Linked DNA regions of Danio rerio. The protein of the gene in region 4 interacts with the protein of the main gene of each other region in a pairwise test. Links are inferred from orthologs where the notes say so. Each region holds a gene or a part of one and is shown on either strand. Other genes may lie near its edges.

The links.
Region 1: the proteins of trip6 (region 4) and mettl17 interact in binary tests that used the Homo sapiens proteins (3 or more experiments, as listed by UniProt). The link is inferred for Danio rerio from reciprocal best matches to the Homo sapiens genes TRIP6 and METTL17.
Region 2: the proteins of trip6 (region 4) and ppp1r16a interact in binary tests that used the Homo sapiens proteins (3 or more experiments, as listed by UniProt). The two-hybrid records come from large-scale screens. The link is inferred for Danio rerio from reciprocal best matches to the Homo sapiens genes TRIP6 and PPP1R16A.
Region 3: the proteins of trip6 (region 4) and hoxa1a interact in a two-hybrid assay, tested with the Homo sapiens proteins (2 studies listed by BioGRID and IntAct). The two-hybrid records come from large-scale screens. The link is inferred for Danio rerio from reciprocal best matches to the Homo sapiens genes TRIP6 and HOXA1.
Region 5: the proteins of trip6 (region 4) and abi2a interact in binary tests that used the Homo sapiens proteins (3 or more experiments, as listed by UniProt). The link is inferred for Danio rerio from reciprocal best matches to the Homo sapiens genes TRIP6 and ABI2.

The regions. Positions count from the first base shown.
Region 1 is NC_133177.1:40,857,484-40,862,764, reverse strand, and holds the start of mettl17 (ribosome assembly protein METTL17, mitochondrial), read left to right. Parts: upstream 1-2,037; 5' UTR 2,038-2,151; coding exon 2,152-2,229; exon of another isoform or gene 2,230-2,648; coding exon of another isoform or gene 2,649-2,654; intron 2,655-4,400; coding exon 4,401-4,539; intron 4,540-4,640; coding exon 4,641-4,790; intron 4,791-5,281. Other genes in the region: parp2 (poly [ADP-ribose] polymerase 2), read right to left, coding at 633-806, 887-1,090, 1,556-1,628. UniProt on the Homo sapiens protein: Mitochondrial ribosome (mitoribosome) assembly factor. Binds at the interface of the head and body domains of the mitochondrial small ribosomal subunit (mt-SSU), occluding the mRNA channel and preventing compaction of the head domain towards the body.
Region 2 is NC_133187.1:14,313,899-14,319,262, forward strand, and holds the start of ppp1r16a (protein phosphatase 1 regulatory subunit 16A), read left to right. Parts: upstream 1-2,271; 5' UTR 2,272-2,352; intron 2,353-2,499; 5' UTR 2,500-2,653; intron 2,654-5,364. UniProt on the Homo sapiens protein: Inhibits protein phosphatase 1 activity toward phosphorylase, myosin light chain and myosin substrates.
Region 3 is NC_133194.1:22,043,853-22,048,017, forward strand, and holds hoxa1a (homeobox protein Hox-A1a), read left to right. Parts: upstream 1-1,854; 5' UTR 1,855-1,950; coding exon 1,951-2,590; intron 2,591-2,785; coding exon 2,786-3,135; 3' UTR 3,136-3,157; downstream 3,158-4,165. UniProt on the Homo sapiens protein: Sequence-specific transcription factor. Regulates multiple developmental processes including brainstem, inner and outer ear, abducens nerve and cardiovascular development and morphogenesis as well as cognition and behavior.
Region 4 is NC_133182.1:19,977,674-19,982,241, reverse strand, and holds part of trip6 (thyroid receptor-interacting protein 6), read left to right. Parts: exon of another isoform or gene 1-112; intron 113-3,643; 5' UTR 3,644-3,652; coding exon 3,653-3,857; intron 3,858-4,568. UniProt on the Homo sapiens protein: Relays signals from the cell surface to the nucleus to weaken adherens junction and promote actin cytoskeleton reorganization and cell invasiveness. Involved in lysophosphatidic acid-induced cell adhesion and migration.
Region 5 is NC_133184.1:13,942,231-13,946,798, forward strand, and holds the end of abi2a (abl interactor 2a), read left to right. Parts: intron 1-2,309; coding exon 2,310-2,483; intron 2,484-3,914; coding exon 3,915-4,090; downstream 4,091-4,568. UniProt on the Homo sapiens protein: Regulator of actin cytoskeleton dynamics underlying cell motility and adhesion. Functions as a component of the WAVE complex, which activates actin nucleating machinery Arp2/3 to drive lamellipodia formation.

The DNA.
Region 1 (5,281 bases), on a different chromosome or scaffold from region 4:
TCAGCGATCGTCGCTGCCTGTTATATACGATATGAAGTAGGTCTCAGATCGGACAAGAAGCGCTGCATTAAATTCCATTTCCCCCGTCATTAAAATATGAGTTTATTTAACCCCAGTATATTCAATGGAATTTCTGCGCTAGCCTGTTGGTACTGACGGTGCTAGTGGTTGCACGGTCTTTCATCTGGTTTTATGCTTGAACAACTTAGTGAATGCTGAAGTCTATTTAACTGAATGTATTGTAATTACATTACAACATCGATGCTGTAAAAACAACCTTGTGAAATTGAAAAAACATTAAAGATTATTGTTGGCTGTAAAGCTCTACCTGTGCATGGAGCCCATTACCTCAGATTGTTTTTTGCCAAGACACTATTCACTGTTTTCTGTTAAACAATTCATTATATTCACATATAGAAAGTACTCATCTGGTGTGTGATAAGTCAACTTTGTAATATTCAGTTTGGACTAAAATATAGATCATTCCCTGATTTTCAATGTCTGGAATGAACCTTTTAAAAATCCCTGACATTGCAGAAATTTCATGACCTCTGGGAACCCTGTTTAAGGGGCATACTTTCATTTTGACTGAAGAAGAGAGATTGCTAAAATTAATTCGAGGGAAGCATCACCTTCACATTCTTCTTTTACCACAGGTTTGTCTTTGTTCGCTTTCTGACTCCTCCCTTCATTGCGTCTCTTCTTGGAAACGGGCTGCTCCTCTTCCTCCTCTTTTTCTTCTTTAATCTGAACAACACCTGTTGCTTTTTTATTACCATTCAAAGCATTCCCTTCATTCAGATCTTCTGCAATAAAACAAATCAGCTGCTGTTAGTTTCCTGACCCAGAGGCTTATTCAGTCACATACAGAAGCACGCAGACGTACCTGACTTCACTTTCTGAAGGCGTATTTTTCGTTTGTACTTGCTGACAGTATTAGTCTGAGTCATTTTCACAAGATCCACTACGTAACCAGGTCCGAGCGCAAGCGAAACAGACTTTTCACCAGCCTGCTTTGCTGCATCCAGCTGTTCGCAGACCTCTGAAGGATACGGTTCCCATTCATCTTCATCCCCTTTCCACTGCCAAACTAAAAACATTCATAGTTCATAATCATTCATAATGTAAAAATATGCAAATCTGAAATGAAAACAGTGCAAACATATTATTTATTAATGTTTTAATGGCTTATCAGCAACACTGGCTATATTCATGGCAACATCGGTAATACATATTCACTACTTAATATACAAATAGGTTTCTTGATAAACAAACAAACAAAAAAACACACAAAAAACAAACAAAACACACAGTCAATGATTCTACATATTAAAATTCTTCCAGGGGACTGTCACATCTATAAACTCAAAGTGATTTAATGGTTAAAACAGTCATGCTGGGGTGGCTGTGGTGTACATTTATATATATATATATATTTACTTGGAAAAGCAGTCAATGTAAATGTGCAGAGCTTCAGTGTATGACAAAAAGTCTTAAAATGCTGATTGTGTAACTTTGGGTTGTTTTGGCATGTTCAGAGAAAGCGAATTCATACCCGTCTTCGCCTCTGAAGCTTCACTGCCTGAATCTGCCACAGACTTGTCCCTGCAACTCCTTGTTCGTCGCATGTTCCCGGAAAACAGCTAAAATTAGGAGAAAACGTCAAAAGAGGAAACGTTTCCGGTGTATCACACGTTAGCAGTGAAGGTATGGGTGTGACGTAAAATTCCTAGTTATGTAGTTAGGAGGTGGTGAATTATGACATGAGTCACCATAGTGATGTATTCACTTCCTAATAACGTAAGTTAACGTTAGCCCGGAGTCTTGCGGCAAAACACGTTTCGGAGAACAAAATATAGGATAACATTACGCTTTATCCCGCTAAAATGTAAATAATGATAAGATTAAAATAGTTTTCAACACTTACCTCAGATCACAGAGCACAACTGGGGCGTTTTAAATGGCGCGAAAAGTATAACAGAGCGGACTCCTGTCTAGGAACGAATTGACCGATTTGTTTCTACACGGATTTATTTTGAAGTCGGTAAAACGACTGCTTGAGCATGCGTCCGTACACCGATGTTACCATGTTGTGTTGTCTTTAAAGTAGAATTTCATTTGTACGCAGGTTTTAATAAACGAGAATAAAGCATGCATTTACTGGGAAGTCGAGTGTTTGTGAAATGTTCAAGGTGCCATGTGGCTTTGTCTTTGAAAGAAGCGATCCGGGTGAGTAATATGTCAGTCAAACTTCCATGTCATTCTTAGTAATAAATGATGTGAAAAGAGCGGAGGGAGAGTAGTCTGAATTGGGTTCTAGCATGTTATGCTAGCTCACACATCGCACTCATTCGCCAGCCGCGAGTGTTTCCAAGTCTGCGCGCGTCATTCAGTTGATCCGCTGAATGTGTGCGAGCATCAACGTCTGCTGCGAGAGTCGCGCGCGTGACCCGATTTTCTGTGCACTCGCTCATCATTCAGATGATGTCCTGCTAGGTCAGCGAGGAGCTCCTGTCTCAGACCTTCCCCGAGGTGTTGGCGAGTGACGAGCACTCAGTAAGTGACCTCTACAGTGAGCTTCCTTTCGCTGAAGATTCAAGTGAGGATAGTCTGATATATATAGGGCGTGATCAGGGCTATTCGTTTCGATGATGGTGAGAAATATACTAATAATTTATTTAGTTTGTTAATCATTTGTAATTAATATATTTGTGTGACCTTAATTATTACCTGAGAAAATGTTTTTTGTCAACTAAATGTATTGTATGAATGGTTTAAACACTATCAAATGTTTTGAGAACGAGAATGTGTTCATTGCTCTGCAGTGATTGGTTAAATTTGTGATTGGTAATGAATGTGGCCTGGCTACTTGATGATAAATGCCAGGCATAATTGCTACCCAATAAATACCAAATTTGTCAAATTTAATAACAATATTTCCCATACATACTCATTTTGTACTCAATATGATGAAACACTAAGTCATTTATTTTGGGAGTGGATTTACTGTAAAGTGTTTTGGGTTGACTTCCAATTACATCAAAAGAAATTCTTATTTCAAAACTTTTATATTTCCCCAAAAATATTTCTAGTATTTCTAGTATTCTAGTATTCTTTCTATTCCTACTCTCTGAACTTAGATCCCTCTTATTGTAAATGTATTATTTATTATCTCATGATTTATTTATTTTTTTTGGCAAAATTTTACATCCACAAATTTACATTTTCTAAGAAACACCCTGTTTAATTTTAGAAAGGATTTATTTGTAAACTCTGTGAAATACTCTAATAATTATATTGCCAGTAAAACTCTTAGTGTAAATCATTTTAACTTGCTTAATTTGCTGGAATTTTATTTATGTAACCGTTTTTGTCTCTTTGTTCATATTGTATCTTTGTAAATTTTCTTCCTTGCATGATAAAAAAAGATAATGGCAGGCATATCTATAAAAGCACTTTCTTTAAAGCAGTTAGAAACACTAATTTAAGCACTGCTATTGCTCTTTTCCTAAAAGAGCAGTTGTAGTGAAAAGTTTTTTTATGTAAAGTTAAAACTTTACATAAAATTTATAGTAAAATGAAAACTAATGAAAGTATGAATAAAACCATATTTCTTTACAAATGATACTAATAATCTTTAATGACAAAATATGTAAGATCTTTATTTAATTTCACTAGAAAAGTGTTATATTTTTTGCTGACTTTTACACTTACAGTATTTCCAGTGTTTTGAGGAATGTTCAACTCATTCTAAAAATAAGCAATTTTAACTAGTGACACATGCTAATGACATCATTCACCCTCGATTTTCAGTCGTTTTATAATTTAACTCAATTCATCTTTATTTCTATAGCGCTTTTACAGTGTAGATTGTGTCAAAGCAGCTTTCTAGTGAATTGAAACAGTGTCAGTCCAGTTTTCATTGTTGAAGTTTAGTTTAGTTCAGTTCAGTGTGGTTTAATTTTCACTGCTGAGAGTTCAAACACTGAAGAGCAAATCCATCGATGCCCAACTCCACAGGTCCCGAACCATGCAAGCCAGTGGCGACAGCAGCAAGGAAAAAACTTCACCTATAGAAAAACACCAAAGATGCTTAATATGCCTTGCATTTTATTAGACTGCACATAGTAGCAATATAACAGAATCATAAAATGTATTTAATATATAAAATGTATATACTCATCCTTGTTTCTTATTTAACACAAAAAAGATAATTTGAAGAATGTTGAAACCCGGTACCCATTAACTTCCATATAAGGAACAACAAATGCTATAGCCAGAACTACCTGGCTGTAATTCTGCCAAAAAGATACCCTTCAACCACTAACCATTATTCAAAAAAAATTATCAGAATTATGTGATACTGAATAAGTCAAATGTGCTTCTCATTGTCTTGAAAGTGTCAGAGTTCCGCAGCACCTCTGGAACAGGCCGACTACCTGAATGGCGCTCCTCACAGAAAACACCCGGGTGTTACAAACCTGAAAACAGTGCAACTGCCAGAGCAACTGCAGCTAGCAGCACAGTCCATCTTACAGAGTGAGGAACCAATGATCTGCCAGCCTCAGTATTAAAGATTATGTTTTCTGAATTGACATGCTAAAGTAGTGTGTTTTATATGCTTTTTATTTGATATGTAGGGGCCGATGTAAAAAGTCTGACGGAAAGGGCACAAAAACTCTCTAACTTCCTTTGGAGCAGGAAGCGGGTGATAGAATCTTCACAGCTCAGGGAGAAAGCCATCATTCTGGAGAGGAAATTTTTGGAGGAAGAGAGAAATGTCAGTGAAAGTGAGTTATTGATAAAAGACAAAATGGAGAAATGTCAACACTGTGGTTTAAAGGAACACTGCATTTATTTTTGGAAATAGGCTCATTTTTACAAGTCTCCTAGAGATTGACAGCTTTACCATTTTTAAATCCATTCAGCTGAACTCCAGGTATATTGGGAGCATATTTAGCTTAGCATAAGTCATTGAATCAGATTAGACCATTGGCATCTTGCACAAAAATTAAAAAAAATGATAAATTTGATAAATTTTCTATTTAAAGCTTGACTCTTCTGTAGTTACATTGTGTTCTAAGACTGACAGAAAAAAAGTATTCCAGCATTATAATCAAGGAACTTTGCTGCAGGATCAATAATATTATGCAGCACCTAAACAAGTTCCCATCTAGGTTACTACAGAATATTTAAGCTTTAAATAGGAAAATAACCCCTGTGATTTTTTTTAGCAAGATGCTAATGGTCTTATCCGACTGAATGATTTATGCTAAGCTAA
Region 2 (5,364 bases), on a different chromosome or scaffold from region 4:
AAAGAATGAGGCTAAAATGGCAGAATTGTCAGTTTTGGGTGAGCTATCCCTATAAGTTAAAGTATATAAATTGAGGTTCATATGCCTAATTAATATAGATAGTAATTAAAAGGTCTGCTAGTCTAAATTTCTATTTTGATGGGTCTTTTGATGTTTTATTTAAAACCCACTCTTTTCTTTACTCAACAGGCTATTTTTACATGGAGGTAATCTTCTATTGATAATTTCTGGATTTTAATTATGCGTAAGTTGCATAAAACTATTGTTTAATCACTCACTGTTGTTTTCAAATTACTTATGTAACTTGTCTTTCAGAATGTTTTCAGCTGTTGAATTCACCTCAGATCAGTGTTGCTGTAATTCCTGATGGAAAGAAGAATTGAATGAGGTAAGAAGTATACTATTCTATTTACTATTAAATGTAGTTATGTTACCTAAAACCGCATGTCCATAATGTGGAAAATAGATCATGCTTATGAAAAATTACTTTATTATTTTGTACAGCTGTTATTGAAATGACACTAAGTTTAACATTTCATTAACAGCGAGCAACGCCACAACTACAGGACCTCTTCTCATAATTTACAGTAAGTATTCGGAGACTAACTCTGACTTCTGTTAACTCAAACCTGTTTTCCCTGTATCTCTAAATTTATTTAATTGTTTGTAATTTTGGTATATGATATATTATTAAAACATTAAAATAAAGTAGGCTACATAATTACTCTGGAGATTTTATATGTAATGAAATTACAATAAATGTCTGAAACTTCAATAACTTGCTAGTCATAGTCATTTCCTGTGTAGTGCTGTTGTGTCAAGCTCTGATCTGTCCTCTCTTGTTCACTGCCTATTTTGACTTTTGTCTGCTGTGGATCTCTGAAGCTGGATTATCCGTTGAATTTGTTTCTTCCTCTGACTGCTTTCTCCATACCAACAACTACGACTGGTCTTCAGCTGCGCTCCCCGGTCTGCTGTATTCTCCAGTCCAGAGCTTCACTGCCCAGTGTTTGAATTTTAATTTATATATTTATTTATATATTTATTTACCTTTTAATGATTTCTTGTTTACTTTTCTTGTTTGTTTACCCTTTAGTTTAATTATATATATATATATATATATATATATATATATATATATATATATATATATATATATATATATAAACTTTATTTTATACTGTTTGCTTATAATTAGATACTGTATGTGTACTGTATTTATTAAATGTTGTGAAATATATAATAAAAAGTTTGATATTCATTTGTGTGGCATTTTTACACTTTAAAGTTTACACATGCAGTTTTTAAATTAAATAGGAAAAATAAATGAACAATATTTCATATTAAGCAATACTGGAAAAGAATTGCTGCTTATCCTGTATTCTAGGCAGTAATGATAAACTGCCACAAAAAAATATCAATACAAGTAGTAAGAACGCCGCCTCGCGGTTGCTGAATGTCGCACGACAACGTTGCTACAGCCTTCTCACGTCTTACATTTCTACGTTGTGACAATGTAGCGAGCACGTAAGCGGCAACGTTGCCTTTGAAAAAATACAACGTTGTGCAGACATCGCTACAACGTAAATGTGTTTGTTGGGCGACCCTCATGATGTTTAAATGGCAACCTTATGACATCGTTGTGACAACCTTTAGCAACAACGTAGAATCCTCAACCTTTTTGCAATGTTGATACAACGTTGTAGGAAGGTCGCTACGTTGAGGCAACGTTGTGTGTTTGTTGGGAATTTTTGTTATGTTTATTTAAACGTTTCAATCTCTTCTGCATTGCTGTCTTCTGAGCGCATGCTATTTGATATGTAATTCACAACATGAAGAAAATGATTTTTTTCTCTTTTTCTTTTATTTGATCAAGCCATACAAAATAAAACGAACATATACAGTCAAGGCCGAAATTATTCATACATACCCATGTGTATGAGTAATGAATATGAAGGGAATTTCTCCTTGTCTTCTTCATAGACATGAATTAGTTGTTATAGTAACAACGCCCCCATGTTGTGTACATGAGACACAACGCAACGCTTGATCTTAGAACGCCTTTATTAAGAACTTTACAACACAAGACAATAGTTTTGTTTAAACAATGTGGATGCAAATGCTTACTGTCTGGCATGGTCATGGAATTCTCCACAGGGATCTATCGATATAAATTAATTTAACGAATAGTGTATCAATAATTAAAGTCGAACATAATTGGTTAAACCTGACAAGCGCAGAGAAAAGTAACAGACACCACGTTGCAACGCTGTCAATTGCCATTTGCCACTTTGGAGGTCTGGGAAAGAGGTTACACCTGAAAAATTAACACTGGTAACTTTAGAAATTGAGGTGAAAATATATAGTAAAATGTGAAAAAATAACGTTTTTTTTCAGACCAAACCGGTCACTTAAAAAACTATTATTGCCCTTTAGCCGCATATTCTCCATTTGTGTTTCTGTGGCGATTCTCAGTGTGGTGTGTTTGTGTGAGAGTAGCGCCGACTGTCGGGATGCATCGAGCAAGTGGACGGACCGAAGGGCGCAGCGGATGTTATGGAGAGTAATATATTTCCCGTAAAAGCTGACGAAGGGGATTGAAGCGCCGTTAAACAACCATGAATGCACAGACTGATTTCAGCTGAAGCAACAGGTAAGACAAAAGCGTTGAATGTGACGTGTCAAACAGGTGTTTAAATGACAGGTGTGTGTTCAGGTGCGTTGACAGGCCATTGACAGTGTTACATACAGTAACATCAACGCTAAAACAGCTTTATTATGGAAGGACGGATTCAGCACAGTGTTATGTTAATGTTTGAAGCAGTTTTGGATCGGTGATACTTTTTGTATGCGGATTATTGAAAAGTTGAAGTGAACTCTGGACTTCAGGCAGGTTAGCATTATGCTAGTAAACAGGAAATAGAGTATTTCAAATAATATTTTTTGGCATGTTCTATTGTAATACTAAGCTTTTGACATGGTACAATTGCGTCATCATGTTTTGCTTAACACTTTATATATCAAAGTACTACGTAAATATCATAGTACCGTATTGTTATGGAATGCTATTCTTGATTCGAATCACGTTTCATGAGTTTTCGATTAAATAAAATGTTCAAATGTTGGTGACGGTTCACTTTTATTATCATAATGCATGAGTTTGAATAATATTTATTAATTAATTAAAATGTAATGTTTATTATAATTATGCAATATAATGTATAGTTCGAGTGAAATAGCTGAGGAACAGGGAAAGGAACAATATTTGAGATTGTTTACTGCTTAAAAAGTAATTTGTACATTACTGCCCCAACAGTGATTATACATAAATATAGCAATTAACAAGCTTAATGCTTCTTTAAGCTTTAGTCACTGTGCCTGCCCACATTTTAGTTTTATGCTAGTTTTGAAACCACACAAACGCGCACACACCTACACACATTTAATTAATTAAAAATAATGGTTAAATGTTGCCAACAAGTGGACGGTCAGTTATTATGAATAATAATGAATACATAATAAAATAATCACGAGTAGGCATGAGTTGATATCCAGTTTTAAAACCGCTAAACTTTTCTGTCATACTGTTCATATAGTATACGTATATTGTTCTTTTTATTGAATATTTTATTTAGTTTTTAGAGCAACAGTATCTCCAGCAGAAAAAGACCCTCCACATTAAAATGTACTGGTCAACCAACGATTCAGAAAACATCTGAAAAACGAACTGCTTATGCAGTAACATCCAAGCATGCTGGCCTGAACAGTGCAGCGGCTTACTTTTTTATCCAAAAAAAGAGAAAAGATTCAAAGATGCCTTTTCAAGTTGTAAAGAAATCTGTGTTTTTAAAACCAATAAAGACAGCAGAAGTCTCTTTCAGCAGAAGTGTTTCTTAAAATTACATTTTAGGGATGTCCTGATCAGGTTTTTTTTGCCCTTAATCTGAGTCTGAGTAATTTGATTTTTACTATCTACCGATAACCAAACCCGATGCGATACGTCTATAATACATAAAAACTAAAAAAAAAGAATAAAAAAGAGCAAAGAAACAGATCCAGAATGTTCCTTATTTTTTTGAATAATTTACCTTATTTTACCATTCAACAACTCTGTTAACAAACAGAGCACTTCTGTGAGGTTGCTTGAATAATCAAGCGATAAACAACATATATTTTTTACTTTTGGACTTAAATGCAACAGTAAATATAAAAAAGCTAATATAAAAACAAATAGCACCTCAACTTAAAATGCCTGGCAGGCAATCACAAGTAGGCATGGGCCGGTATAAGATTCTGAGTGTATGATAACCTTGGAAAAAAAAAATCACGGTTTCAATGTTTTATGGTATTCTGCTGTCTTCATTTGTTTTAAAAAACACAGAGTTCTTTCAACTTGAAAAGGCTGTTTGAATATTGTTTCTGCTGAAGATACTGTTGTCCTAAAAAACTTAAAATGAAATGTAAAAAAAAAAGAAAAAAAAACTTGCATATACCGTAGGAACGGTATAGCAGAACATTTTGGCGGTTTTAAAACCTTGACTTTTACAAACCACGGTATACCTTGAAAATGATTATCGTCCCATACCTATTCCCAAGTTTAAAAATCTCATAGTTTGCTATGGCAATGTTGTTGTCCTTAACTTTATAATACCTCCAGACTGCAGACATACTCACGTTTTCCGCTTCAAGCTACTTCCATGTTCTACTCTGCCAGCATTTGACCAATAGTGTCTCTGCAACAAGGTGATGTCATGCCGCATGCGTTGCTGTTTCTGTGTGAAATCAAGAAAGAGGTTTAACTCTGTGCCACTGCATAACTATAGATGTTAAAAACAATGAGAATATATATATATATATATATATATATATATATATATATATATATATATATATATATATATATTATAATATAATGTCTATTATAATTATAATGTCTGATTCCAGTGGAGTCTAAAACCGCATGATCAGGCCCGATTTCCGATCATGTGATCTGGACATCCCTATTAAATATGTTGGGTTCAATAATTTTTACCCACTCTATAATCACAATACTCTGTTACCATAAAACCATGATATTTTTATTCAATGTTTTCATACTAACAGAATCTTGTACCGGCCCATGCCTAATCACATACAGTAGGAAAAACATTTCTTTAGCATTATTATTCAGATGAGCAGCGAATTTTTTTTTTCTTTTCGATAATGCATATTGTACGATTTCATAATCTATATTTTGTAGCTTATGAAATGTTTGTTTTGTGTTTTTACAATCTTTTATTTCATTGTTGTACTGTTTTGCTTGCCTTGTATTGCTAGTATTTTGCCTTGTAGCACTTTGAGTTTAAGAAAAGCGCATTACAAATA
Region 3 (4,165 bases), on a different chromosome or scaffold from region 4:
AGAAAAGTCATAAACAATGTGTAAAGTTAGCTAAGCTTTTATAGTTTGTGTTAAAAGATATAAACGCTGATTTTATGTAATTACGGTTGATGGAAAAAAAAACAGGAAACATAATTTTGGAGAATACTAAAATATAAAAAGCAACCTATTTCTTTCAATTTATGAAAAATTGTGAGCTGCGGAATTACTAAAACTGTACAATTAATCCTAATACATTTGTTATCACTCAAACTCCTAAAACTTTTCAAATGTTGCAATTTATGAAGCAAAACTGTTCAAACGTGTCTCCTTCGCCAAAGTTGGGCTCTTTGTCTCGTACTCTTTTCTCTGCATCGTCAGGAAATACCGAGGAGGATGTTTCTTTTCATGAAACGAACTCATAAATCAAAGTCTTCTAGAAAAGCTGACAGCATCCAGACAATCAGTGTCTGTGAAAATCTGCCCAAATACGTATTTCATTCACCGCTTATCAATATAACGATTTTGGATTCAGCGCAACCCACGTGGACGGATAATAATAATTAATCTTTTTATTGGCGTTTTACACCCCGTCATTAGGATTACACAAAACACTCATACAACATATTTCACTGCACGTCCTCCCCAATTTGTCTTAGTCTTTTTGCTTTTTGTCCTGATTGAAATAACGTTACAAATGTTTATAATGTCTTTATTGAAGATGTTTTAAAATGCTTTTTTTCGTATGAATAAACAAATATTTAATCAACTACAATAGTTTTTATTTTTAGATATTTTTCCCCACATCTAACAGAGTGAACATTTGGCCACTAAGTGGTTCTACAGTTTTTATAAACTATGACTCCATTTCATTTAAGTACATTACACTTTATATTTATGCTGTTATTTTTTCTTGCCTTATTTGTCAGGCTTGTTGCTGTAAAAAAAATAGTGGCATAAGAAATACTAGGCCGTAGTAAGCTTGTGTAAAGCGCCATTTTGAAAAAAGAAAAAAGGTATAAAAATGTCCAATTTCCTCCAGAGGGGGCGCGTGTCTCCTCTGCTCCACATAGGATTGTGGATAAAATACATCGTCTTCCCTGTGATTATTGATCAGTCTGTGAATACTAATCACAAAATAGCATTCAGCAAAAACAGAAATCCCGCTAATGTATTTATTTCAACATGTAAGTTCTTAGTTCCAAGTAAGTTCCAAGTCCTTAGTTCCTTGCTGCTTAATGTTGACAGTTAGCATACATAGACATAGGCTAAATAGCTTATAGCAGTAATAAATATACAGTGGGCTACAGCCAATGTTTTTATCAAGTAGCTAAGCCTAACGTATTAAAAAACAACAAATATAACTGTGCTGGCTACACCGAAAAAATAACAATACGATGAGTGGTAGTCAGTTTATCATTTTTATACACTTACTAAGTTGACGAAAGCCGATACACTAGAGCCTATAGCTGATAGGATATTGCTACCCGAATTGTGAACCAGAAAAAGATACTAACTTTACATAATTTCTTTGTGGTTTTGAGATCATCTTACCTGAAGCATTTCTTTAAAAAAAATCCACACACCGAGAAGCTGATGCTGCCGGGACGCTGTCTGTGAGACAACGTCCCTCTTAGCGTATCTGCCAGCGAATCTATCCTTTCAGCAGAAGTAAAGGTGGGCCTACGTAACGTTGATGGACAAGAGGTCGGCATTTGCATAAGCCTGGTCTTTAACGACAACCTGTCAGTGCAAGGCCACTTAAGATCAAGATGAGACAGCACAACTGATCACTGGCTGACCCAGCCCACGTGACTGTCACTGGTCATTCATATCACTAGCGCCCGAACACCTCCAATCCACGACTGATTGAAGGAGGCAGAAGGGTGCCTCGGCTCAACCCAGGGTGAATGGTGCGACGTTAATCAGTTCCGGGCCCAAAGTTCTGTCAGTGTGGCAACCACGAGCTGAGACGCCCAAGAAGATGACACAATGAGCACATTCTTAGATTTTTCGTCCATAAGTGGTGGTGGAGATGGAGGTAGCGGGGGCTCGTGCTCAGTCAGGGCGTTCCACGGTGATCACGGACTTTCAACATTCCAATCGTCGTGTGCTGTTAGGTTAAATAGCTGCAGTGGAGATGAACGGTTCATGTCCAATATATCGTCACAAGATGTAATTAACTCTCAGCCACAACAGGCCGGCTCGTACCAGTCCCCCGGGACTTTGTCAATTACCTACAGCGCCCATCCAAGTTATGGAACTCAAAGTTTTTGCACTGGATACAATCACTATGCCCTAAATCAGGACGTGGAATCGTCTGTGAGCTTTCCCCAGTGTGGCCCGTTAGTTTACTCTGGAAATATTTCTTCCACTGTTGTGCAGCACCGTCATCATCGTCATGGTTACAGTAGCGGAAACGTTCACCTCCATGGCCAGTTCCAGTACGGCTCAGCCACATATGGTAATAGTTCGGATCAGGCAAACCTTACGTTTGTGGCGGGCTGCTCAAATCCGCTTTCCCCTCTGCATGTGCCTCATCATGATGCTTGTTGTTCACCTCTATCAGATGGCGTGCCCACGGGACAGACATTTGACTGGATGAAGGTTAAACGCAACCCGCCAAAAACAGGTGAGTGACTTAAATTTTACAAGTCGTAATTATTTTTTCTCCCGATACGGAATACAAGTCCTGACTTAATATTGCATGTCCAACACTGGTTACATAAACATCTGAAGAAACCTAAGATATGGGACTTGACATAACAATATAGCCTAGTATGCATACACACATTCATTTATTCTTCTTTTCATTCTCTCTCTTAAGGAAAAGCTGGGGAGTATGGATTTGGTGGGCAGCCAAACACTGTACGCACCAATTTTTCGACAAAACAGCTGACAGAGCTTGAAAAGGAGTTTCATTTCAATAAGTACTTGACTCGCGCAAGGCGCGTGGAGATCGCGGCTTCTCTCCAATTGAATGAGACTCAGGTGAAGATATGGTTTCAAAATCGCCGTATGAAACAAAAGAAGCGCGAAAAGGAAGGTCTTTTGCCGAAATCTTTGTCCGAACAGAAAGATGGTCTCGAAAAAACAGAGGATGCATCTGAAAAGTCGCCCTCTGCACCATCCACGCCCTCTCCTTCACCAACTGTTGAGGCATACTCCTCTAATTAAACAGCTTTCACATTTGTTCTTTCAAATTGTAAACAATAATGCAAAATTGTTTGTGACTTGTCTTATGGTTATTTGTACATCATGTTTTAACATAAGTGGAAGAGTGTTTTAGCGACCAACCGTTTCTAACTCGACCATTTTGATCACTCATTGTTTATCTGTGCACTATTTATGTTAATGTGAAATAACTGTTAATTGTCTTGGGCACTTTGTCAAGCACCTGGATAGAAAGAAGTGGCTTGTGCATTTTTGTGCACAGTAATAACAAATGCTGCACTTTTACGCGCGTCTTAGTTTGAACTTGTAAACCACTTGTCAAAATGTCTACCTCAAGAACCGAAGGAAATAGTGCAATATATTTAGGGGATGCATTACTAGTGAATCTGTTAAATCTTTCGGGAAATAGTGTCTGTAATTGACAAATTCTCTGGACGATGCAAAGTGTTGTTAATTCTTGTGTTGTGAGTTTTGCAGCATACGCAATTGTCTGAAGTTGTTCTCCGGTGATGCTGAGTTTTATCAGTCGGAATTAAAGTTTCCTTTAATTTAGAAATGCGTTAGAAAAAGATCAAGATACGGGTGAAATCATGTGATAATTAAAATGTATCTTATAAGTACAATTTATTCAAATACTGTATTACTTTTGATGGTTCTAATGTCTGTCAACCCTCACAGAAACAACTAACTCTAAAACACTGCTGACAATCTGTCTTAAAAATTTAAACCAGCAATCTAAGCACTATTATTTAATATTTAAATATACATTTTGTGGAATGAACTGTTAAGTTTGATTTATCGATTGCTTGTTTGCAGTCTTAAATCCACCAATAACTAGCTCTCTGCCTCCGTAACTGATATATGCGTCCGCGTGTGGTTCTTTCCTCAGGGACGAAGTGATATTGGCACATTAAGCATGTTTATCCACGATAGAAGATGCGCAATGCTGTCACCGTTATTCGCGGTGACAACCCTATTGACCTGTTAGTTTATCGAAGAGAAACAAAAAACATGACGATCGATTAAATCATCT
Region 4 (4,568 bases):
TTTCATGAGGCATGAGCTGATGGAAAATATCGCTGATTTCATTTTGCAGATGAAAACGAGCCGAGACGAGGCAGATGTTCTGTAGGCTTGGAGTCTGCAGCGTTTTCAAAAGGTAACGTTACGGGAAATTGTTAATGTCCTATTGTTTAAATAACCCACAGAACACACCGGACGTCAGTAACCATAGATGAGCAGAAATCCGCGAGCGTCACGTTCATGTGTCGCGCGCTTCTGTCAAGCACTGCAACGAATCACAACCTAAAGCAGACTGCAATTCATTTATTTTAAGATTTAAAAAATGGAGTCATACGGGAGATACATCGGCCTAACAAGCCACGGCTTTGAGTTCGAGCTTTCACTGGTTGTAGTGCAATGCAAGACGGTCATATTGGATGTTTATGTGGTTAAGAAACTTGTTTAGATGTTGTTCAGTGTAATTATTATAGATCAATGTAGACGTGAGAGCTGAATCAATGTTAAGATAGCATTGATGGTTAACTGCTCATTACCTGGCTATTTGCTTGTGTAAAACCATCTTCTAACATCAACAAACATACAGCACGCTACAAGTTATACTAAGGTGGTCAAACTGTTTTTGGGGGCAATTTAACTGGTCAACCAACATTACCAAGCTGTTTTCCTAAATACAGTAGTCAACATTCGAAGCGAATCAAAAATGTTTTTCAAAATTGTCCTAGGACAAGAATGGCTGTTGTTCAATAGTTTTAGGAAATCTTTGATGAAAGGTTATGATCCTCTTCAAATGTTGACTACTGTAGTTCAGCCCAATTGAAGATTTACTCTTCTTCAAGTGGTTCCAACCCTTTATGAGTTTCATTTTTCTGTTGAACACAAAAGAAAAAACTTGAAGGCATGCATGTTAGAAACCTGTAGCCATTTACTTTCATAATAGGAAGGTTACACATTTTCAGTATTTTTCAAAACAGCTTATTTTGTGTTTAACAAAAAAGTACATATAAGGGGTGCGAATTACAGGGGCTTTAGGGAGATATGACCCCCCTAATTACCACTTTATCCCCCCTGAAGGATGTCAGAACAAGATGTATGGGGGGGTCAGTTGTTTAATACTGAGAAATATTTCACTCTGATCTGTATTTTAAATAATATTAATTATTAAAATAATAGATAATATAAATAAAACATTTGACCACCGCTATAACGGTAAAAAAATTGTTAATGCATATTTGCGCCAATCAGTCAATGCGAGAACAAAGTCTGAAAGAGGCAGATCTAGAGCTCCAATAGACATCATGTTCACAAGACTTGTTCTCGTAAAATGGGTGTTTACATATTTAGCCTGAAAAATATGTAGTTTGTAGTTTAACCTACAGTAACATCTGAAATCGCAAATTAGAGAATACTGCAGGTCAGAATACACTAAATGTCCCTCAAAATGCTGAAAACCTAAATCTTTTAGTTTTTATTAATAAACTAGATGAAATTAAAAAAAGAAATGCATAAATAAGTGAAGCATGTATACACAAACTAACTGAAACAGCTGACCCTCCTGATTGTCAATATATAGTCCAAGAGTTCACAGTATATATATATATATATATATATATATATATATATATATATTATATATATATATATATATATATATATATATATATATATATATATAATATCGCAATATATATCGCAGGGGAAAAAATATCGCAATGTCAATTTTTTCCAATATCGTGCAGCCCTAGTTCACACTTAGCTGATGATTAATTATAAAGCTAGTTTGGCATGCTGTCCTGGGGGAGAGCCATGAGCTCAAAAGATCGTCAAGTCCGGGGCTCCCTCCTGTTTGCAAGGCGAGAGGGGAGTTTGAGCTCAGGTTGATCTCGAGAACTCCCCTGCTGTAGAAGCTAATGAACAGATAGTGATTGCTCTTAAGAGATAACTACTTACTAGGAGCATGTCTATAATGCTGATTTGGATTAGTCAATTAACTTAAGTTGTGTTTTTGGACGGTGGGACGAACTCTGGGAACCTGGGGGTAAACCCACGTGAGCATGGAGAGAACATGTAAACTCCGCACTGAAACGTCGACTGGCTTGGTAAGGACTACAACCAAAGATGTTCTTGCTGTGAGGCAACAGTGCTAACCACTGGGCCACCGTGTCAGCCATCTAGGAAAGGAGGAGGAGTAGGGGTGGAAGGGGGGATCCTCAAAAACAAAGGTGGCTGTGATATGGAACTTAGGGTATTTTATAGTGGCTTAGGAATTATCTGATTGGTGAATCATAAATTGGATAATGAGGGACCAGCCGCAAGCAATCATAAGCATGCGATCCTCTCGAAATTAGTTTATAAAAAAACTCCACTTCGCATACTGTATATGTATCTATACTGTATTTACTCCGTCTCAAACAGGTTTGTGACAAGTGAAGGGTGAGTAAAAGATGACAGAATTTTCAGTTTTTGGTGAACTGTCCCTTTATTCTGGCTTTTCAAGTACAATTTCAAAAGACTTCTTCGTTATGTAATGCTTTACAAAATACTGTTGTTGGTGATTTGGTTGTGCTAGACTACTTTCGACCATTAACAAACAAACCATATTGAGGTGAAGTTGGTTTTATATTAACACAATTGTCCAGTGACAACTTGTGACATGCTCCCTATATAGTTTACCATGCCACTTTGAATATTCGGCCTGAAACACATGTAAGTATGATTTGAAAATAACATTAGCACTATTTATTTGACTGTAAACAATGTTTTACTTTGAGATCATTTGTGTTAATATAATTTCCCTATTTAGAATTTGCAAAAGATGTTTTTGTGAAATTAAATTATTCAGAGGAAAGTGCAAATGTGTGAAAATAAAACCAACTTTACCTCAATACGAACCAGCTACTAGTTAGTTCTACTAATGTGGCTAAACTCTATATTTGGGCATGTTAACTGCTCAACCAGCAGATTACTAGACAGCCATCTTAAGCTAGATTCTCAGAGGACTTGTTTGTTTTCTAATACTTTTGTAAAATACTATTGTGTTTACAGCATCTTATATTGTTGTGAGGTTTGTTTTCATAAGCTTATAATAACAAGCACTCGTCAGCACTTGGATACACAAGCACATTGTCTGGCGAACACCTGATGGCACAAATGAAAAGTTGTATATTACACAACACTTCCTATCTTATTTTCATGGACAGGCTCTGTAGATAAAGTATTGTGGATTAAGTGTTGTGGACAATGCCTATTGTACCTATGGGAGACTCGAGAGCGGAACGAATACATTGCAAATGTTGTGCACCTGTGGGAATTGTATGTTTGTTTTGTATGTGTGTGAGAGAGAGAGAAATGCTGTTTGACTGAGGAACCCTGGAATTCCCCTTTCGGCTGAGAATGGTTCCCTTTTCCTGCTTTTTAACTTGGTGCCTATTGTTATCATGGAAACCATGCGTTGCCACTGGAGACAAAGCATAAAGCATCAGTCTGTTTTGTGTAGTTACAGTTATGCATTTTATACAAGCTTGGGCAGCACTTCTATAGAGCCTGAACTCTTAGGGATTGTTGTGTTATACATTACATCTAATCATATTTAAAATACTCAAATAAGTGACTTTAAACCTACAAAGTTTCACAATGGTGCCATGGTTTATATTGTGTGTTGTTCTTGTAGAAGTCTGATATGTCTGGTCCCACCTGGCTGCCTCCAAGGACCCTGGGTAGCCCAGACAGAGACACAGCACCAATGTCACACTCTGGCCCCGCTCTCTACAGACCTCCAAAGAAAGGCCTGCCCGAGCAGAGGCCCAAATATAACATGTATGACCAGAATGGTGGAACGGGAGGAAATGGCATGCCCATTAGATATATGGCTACTGGACCTTCAGGTAAGAACTGCTAAACTTGTTGTTTAAACGTCATGTTGATCCCTATGTACTGTTACTTTTTTTTAAAAATTAAATTCATTTTTTACTCTATTTTTATTTTTATTTTTTTTTATACATTTCATTTTAATGTTTAAATTAAATCCTAGTGATAAAAAACTTGTCAGATTAGTTTAAATCCTAAAACTAGAAAGCTGGAATAATTTATCTTGAGCTAATCTCATTTTCTGTAAATGAATGCTCTGAATGATAATATTCTTCATTTTAAAATTAGTGAAGACAGAATATCAGTATTTTATAAATGAAAACAGAAATGAACATTTATTCAAACAATGTGGCTATTAAAAGCTCTTGTCTACTCGATGGTACAGCGTCATGATTCAGTTTTGCTTAATTTTGTTGGCTTTTCCACAGTGTTGTGTACCAAAGACTATAGAACACACAAGATGTGTTACTCGTATAGTTTTGAATGGGGAAAAGTGTAACGGTCAATATGGTGAATTAAGCCTCACCTTCTAGTATAGGAGCCAATCATCGATTGCTATGAACTGACGATTCTCCTGGGAAAAGCTCAGACCAGATGTGTGCTTTTACAACAGTTTGGTGGTCAACAAACACTGGAATCTCAACCAATACTTGCTTCACAGATGTAAAAAATACATCCAAATTAAGCCTGACATTTGTATGAATCTGTATTGTAATCTTTATGAAACA
Region 5 (4,568 bases), on a different chromosome or scaffold from region 4:
CAAGCAGGATCACTGAATCAGCATATGCATTTATGCATGAAGCATCAAGAGGTACATCAAAGGCATGCACTGGTACGCATTGTCACACCAAAGACTAGTTCTTACAGGGACTTTGGTCACACCATCTAAACATTTACAGTTTTTCTCAGTCGCTTTGGTGCGTTTCTCACAACACTAGTGCATTTTTGCACAACATTTAATGATTTTTTCAAAACATCTAGTACAAACTGCAAAACCTAGCTGATAACCTGCAAAAGCGCATCACATGCTCAAAATGGATAGTTCATTTCTCAAAAGCAAGTATTGATGTCAATCAAAGTGTCAGTGTCATCAAAATGAAAAGTCCTGCCAGCATTGTTTATGAACAAGATAGTCAAATGTCTTTGTCATGTTTTCATTATGACAGTTTATTCTCTACATTTTTTCAATGCAAAAAAAGTCTGTAGCACAGTATACTATTATGTATACTATTAGCACAGCCATTTGAAAACTACAGTAAAGTTAGACATCACTGCATTTAGTGAGGTATCTAAGTACAAGACACTGAATATCTATGTTTCACATTTTTACTGCATTTGCTCTTTGCAATCCTAATTTATTCCTAGCATTGTGCAAAAGAATAAACACACCCTCATTTACAACAAACATAAACTCCCTTTAGGTAGAGCTGTGCACAACTGTAAACAATATTGCAGTACATATTGGAACTGAGCCTACAACATACACAGGTCTGTAAATCATTCATCAAATTGTTCAAATTTAAAAACATTTTAAGGAAAATAAAGATTTTAATTTGTTTAAAAAAATTTTTGCTTGACAGATTCTGACAACTAGTTCAACATTTTTGTATGTAATGACTTAAGTAATGAAACGAGGACTATTAGTTTTATATAGAATGACTATTCAGCATTTACAAGTTTAGTTCATTTTGACTGACATGACATAAGCAGATGATAATGTTATAAACAGCAGAGAGTTGTATGAAAGCAATTGATGCATGTCCTAAAGCATTTGCAATTTGTTGAAAAGAATGAGAAACTGCTACTAGGATGTGCACAAATGACTAATTGTTTTGAGGAATGCATTACCTGTTGTGCAAATGTAAATAGTGTAGCGAGAAATGCACCAAAGCGACTGAGAAAAACTGTAAACAACCTTTAGGCATTTGTTCTTGTTGCTAGGAAATGCGTGCGCGCATGCACACACACACACACACACGCTCGCAGGACAGCGCAGCCTGAGCGACTCCCTTCAGACTCAACAGGCATGATCATGTTCATAAAATTTGCTTAAACTAAGCGTTCTAAAGTATGACTGTATTTCACAAGGATTCTGACACAACAATGTGAAGCAGACGCATTACAAAATTTGTGTATAAGGGTGAAACACGTCAAACTTAATGACACATTTGAGGACTCATGCTGAAAGGCAGAGGAATGTGCTGTCTTTGACAGCTCACAACATCATCTATTACTTTCTGAGTACATTTACATGGACACCAATACTCCGATTTTAATATGATTAAGATTATACTCTTATTAAGAGTCTACCATGTAAACAGCGATTTTTAATTACCTTAAAGGACCACTGAGTAACGAAATGCAGAGGTTTTTCTTTCTGTTCGGCATGCGATATCAAATTCCATTAAAACAACATCAAAATATTAAAATTGAATCATACGAAATTAGATGAAATTCTGGAGGAAACACTGGATAACCCAATGTGACATTAATTGTTTTCTACTGAAACTTTCCATCAAAAAGTGCTTCCTTGGTCTTATCCATATTTCTTTGTATGTTGAACACATGTCGACTACAACAGAAAAAAAAACTGCAATTGTGTGAATTTTTTTAACACGTTACATATTTCAAATTAATTGCATGCGTTAACACACTAATTTTGACAGCACTAATACACACACACACACACACACACACACACACATTCTCAAAACTTTACATACCTCTTGAAGAATTTGTTTAAATGTGAATTATTTGAACAAAATATGAGAATGTTATTTAGTACTGTCCTGAATAAGATATTTGACGTAAAATATGTTCACACATAGTTCACAACACAAACATCTAGCTGAAATTATTAAAATAGTTTGTACACATATATACACTTTTACATTAGCATGCATGTGTATGTTTGTCTCAGAATGTTACCAGTGAAAGTTTCAACTCTATTCGTTCACAGCAAATCATCATAGTTTACCTCATTTGCTTTCTGCATGGATCCATGAGTTTGCATGGCCTGCCCTTTAGCAGGAGTCCTGGTCGTCTGCTCATTTCTCAACTTTCTCTCAGTTACAGATGCGCCTCCTCCATCTCCTCCATCAGAAGAGCCCATGTTTGACGACACACAAAATCCGGCTGCTCCTCCAGAAGGCTATGAGGAAGAGGAGTCTTCTGTGGTGGAGTACAGTGACCCTTATGCTGAGGAAGACCCACCATGGGCTCCACAAACATACCTGGAAAAAGGCAAGTTTGAAGATTTAGGTTAAATGCAATTTTGGTTGTTACTTAAACATTTAAAGGAGTAAGTCAGTGGTTTAACTGTTGTCTTAGTTTATGAATCCTTTTTCATGTTGCACTTTCTGCTCATTTTCACACATATGGATCTTTTACTACTAAACACTATGATTTTTTTTTTTTTTAAATCATCATCACCCCATTACAATTTAAGTAGATCACACACCTTTAAAATATGCCATTATTATGGTATGCAATCATAATTTTGATTCTTAATATTTATCAATGTATTTACTTTTTTAGCAAGTTTTATTTGATTTTGATAAGAGTCTTCTCTTATTTCTAAGATTATTCATTCATTCATACTTTCATTTTCTTTTCAGCTTAGTCCCTTTATTAATCTGGGGTCAGGATATTAGGCCCTGTTATCACTGCCAGTAAAATGCGACCCAATTTTAGTTTTTTTTCCTCAAATGCGACAGATCGGATCAGTTCTATGACTGAGTAAACACAAAAAAGCGCATGCATTCGGATATTCAGAGATTGGTTTCAGGCTTCCTTCATATGTGAAAATAAATCAGGTATGTGACAATGTGACTATCATGTAAACAGGCTGATCAGATTTATTGAAGAATTTCTGTTTGTAAATCATTAAACTTGTGACAATGTGGTATTTGTTCATGGTTTATTGACGTAGAAGGAAGAGCGTGTGTGCTCATTTCAGACCCACTTCTCCTCATTAAAGCCCGCAACAATTTGCTCCCACCAGACCTGAGCTCTCTTGTACCCACAAATTCCTCTAAATGGTGGAGGACACCATATATAAACCATAGGCACAAGTTGCGATAACGACCCTATCTTTCCTTAAAATCATTATAAAGTTGGGTGAACTTTGCATATTTCGCAGAGCTAAAAGCAAAAAAATTTCTTGTATCGTGGCTAGTTTGGCACAGATGCTGGAACCTGCCTTTACGTATGCGCAATATCGTAAATTGTAAGGCAAGTGTAAACACATGAATTGCATACGGGTCACAATTAAAAGAACGTGTAAACAGACAGGTAACAAAATCAGATATAGGCAACAAATGATGCTCGGGATTGAGCATCAAGACCTGACAGTGTACACTTGACCTTAGTCTCATTATTTTTTAACTGACCAATCAATAAGAGACTATTGATACATTTTCATTTTAATAAAACAATATTGATTTGTAAATCCAAAGATCAGAATCTTTGATTCTAGTCTAGTTGATTGAAGTCTAGTCTGTTTTAGTTTCTGTATCAAATAAAAAATATAATGTTAAACTGAACAAAGCCACAATTGGTTCATTACAAAGCTAACTTCTAATTTCTGTTTTAAATTTTTCTTCATCTGCACTTGAATTATGAGCAGACACTCAGAATAATATTACTATTATTTTTCATTTTTCTTTGTTTCAGTGGTGGCAATCTACGACTACGTACGGGATAAGGAAGATGAGTTGTCTTTCCAGGAGGGAGCCATCATCTATGTGATTAAAAAGAATGACGACGGCTGGTATGAAGGCGTGATGAGCGGCACTACGGGACTTTTTCCTGGAAACTACGTGGAGTCCATCATGCACTACACAGAGTGAGCGTGTCCTCTGTCCCACACCAGCGCTGATCTGCAGAAAAGTGCAGAAGTGCAAACAAACCATGCTAATAACAGGCCGTGTTCAGAGACAAGTGCTACAATGGAAGAGGAAGCAATATGAAGCTGAACATCCAGACTTTGCACAGACGACGTTTAGGGAAATGTTAGAAATAACAAGTTTACCTTTAAATGAAGGATGAGGAGTTTGAAGTTGGATATGCATAAGCTAGATTTGGAGTGGCTATATTTTTCCACATTTGCTCATTCCACAGAATTTGGAGGGCTGTGCTGGGGCTGACAGATTATTTGTGGGGGGTGATGGGTAAAGATGTGTTTATGATGCCGTTTACATTCTGGTCACTTTTGAAAATGGGAAATCTTTTCTTTGAATTGAATAGAACAGGTTTATATGTAGAAGTTGCTTTCTATTTATTACATGTTGTGACAGCGTAAGGTTTTAAAACGACATGTTGAGACAG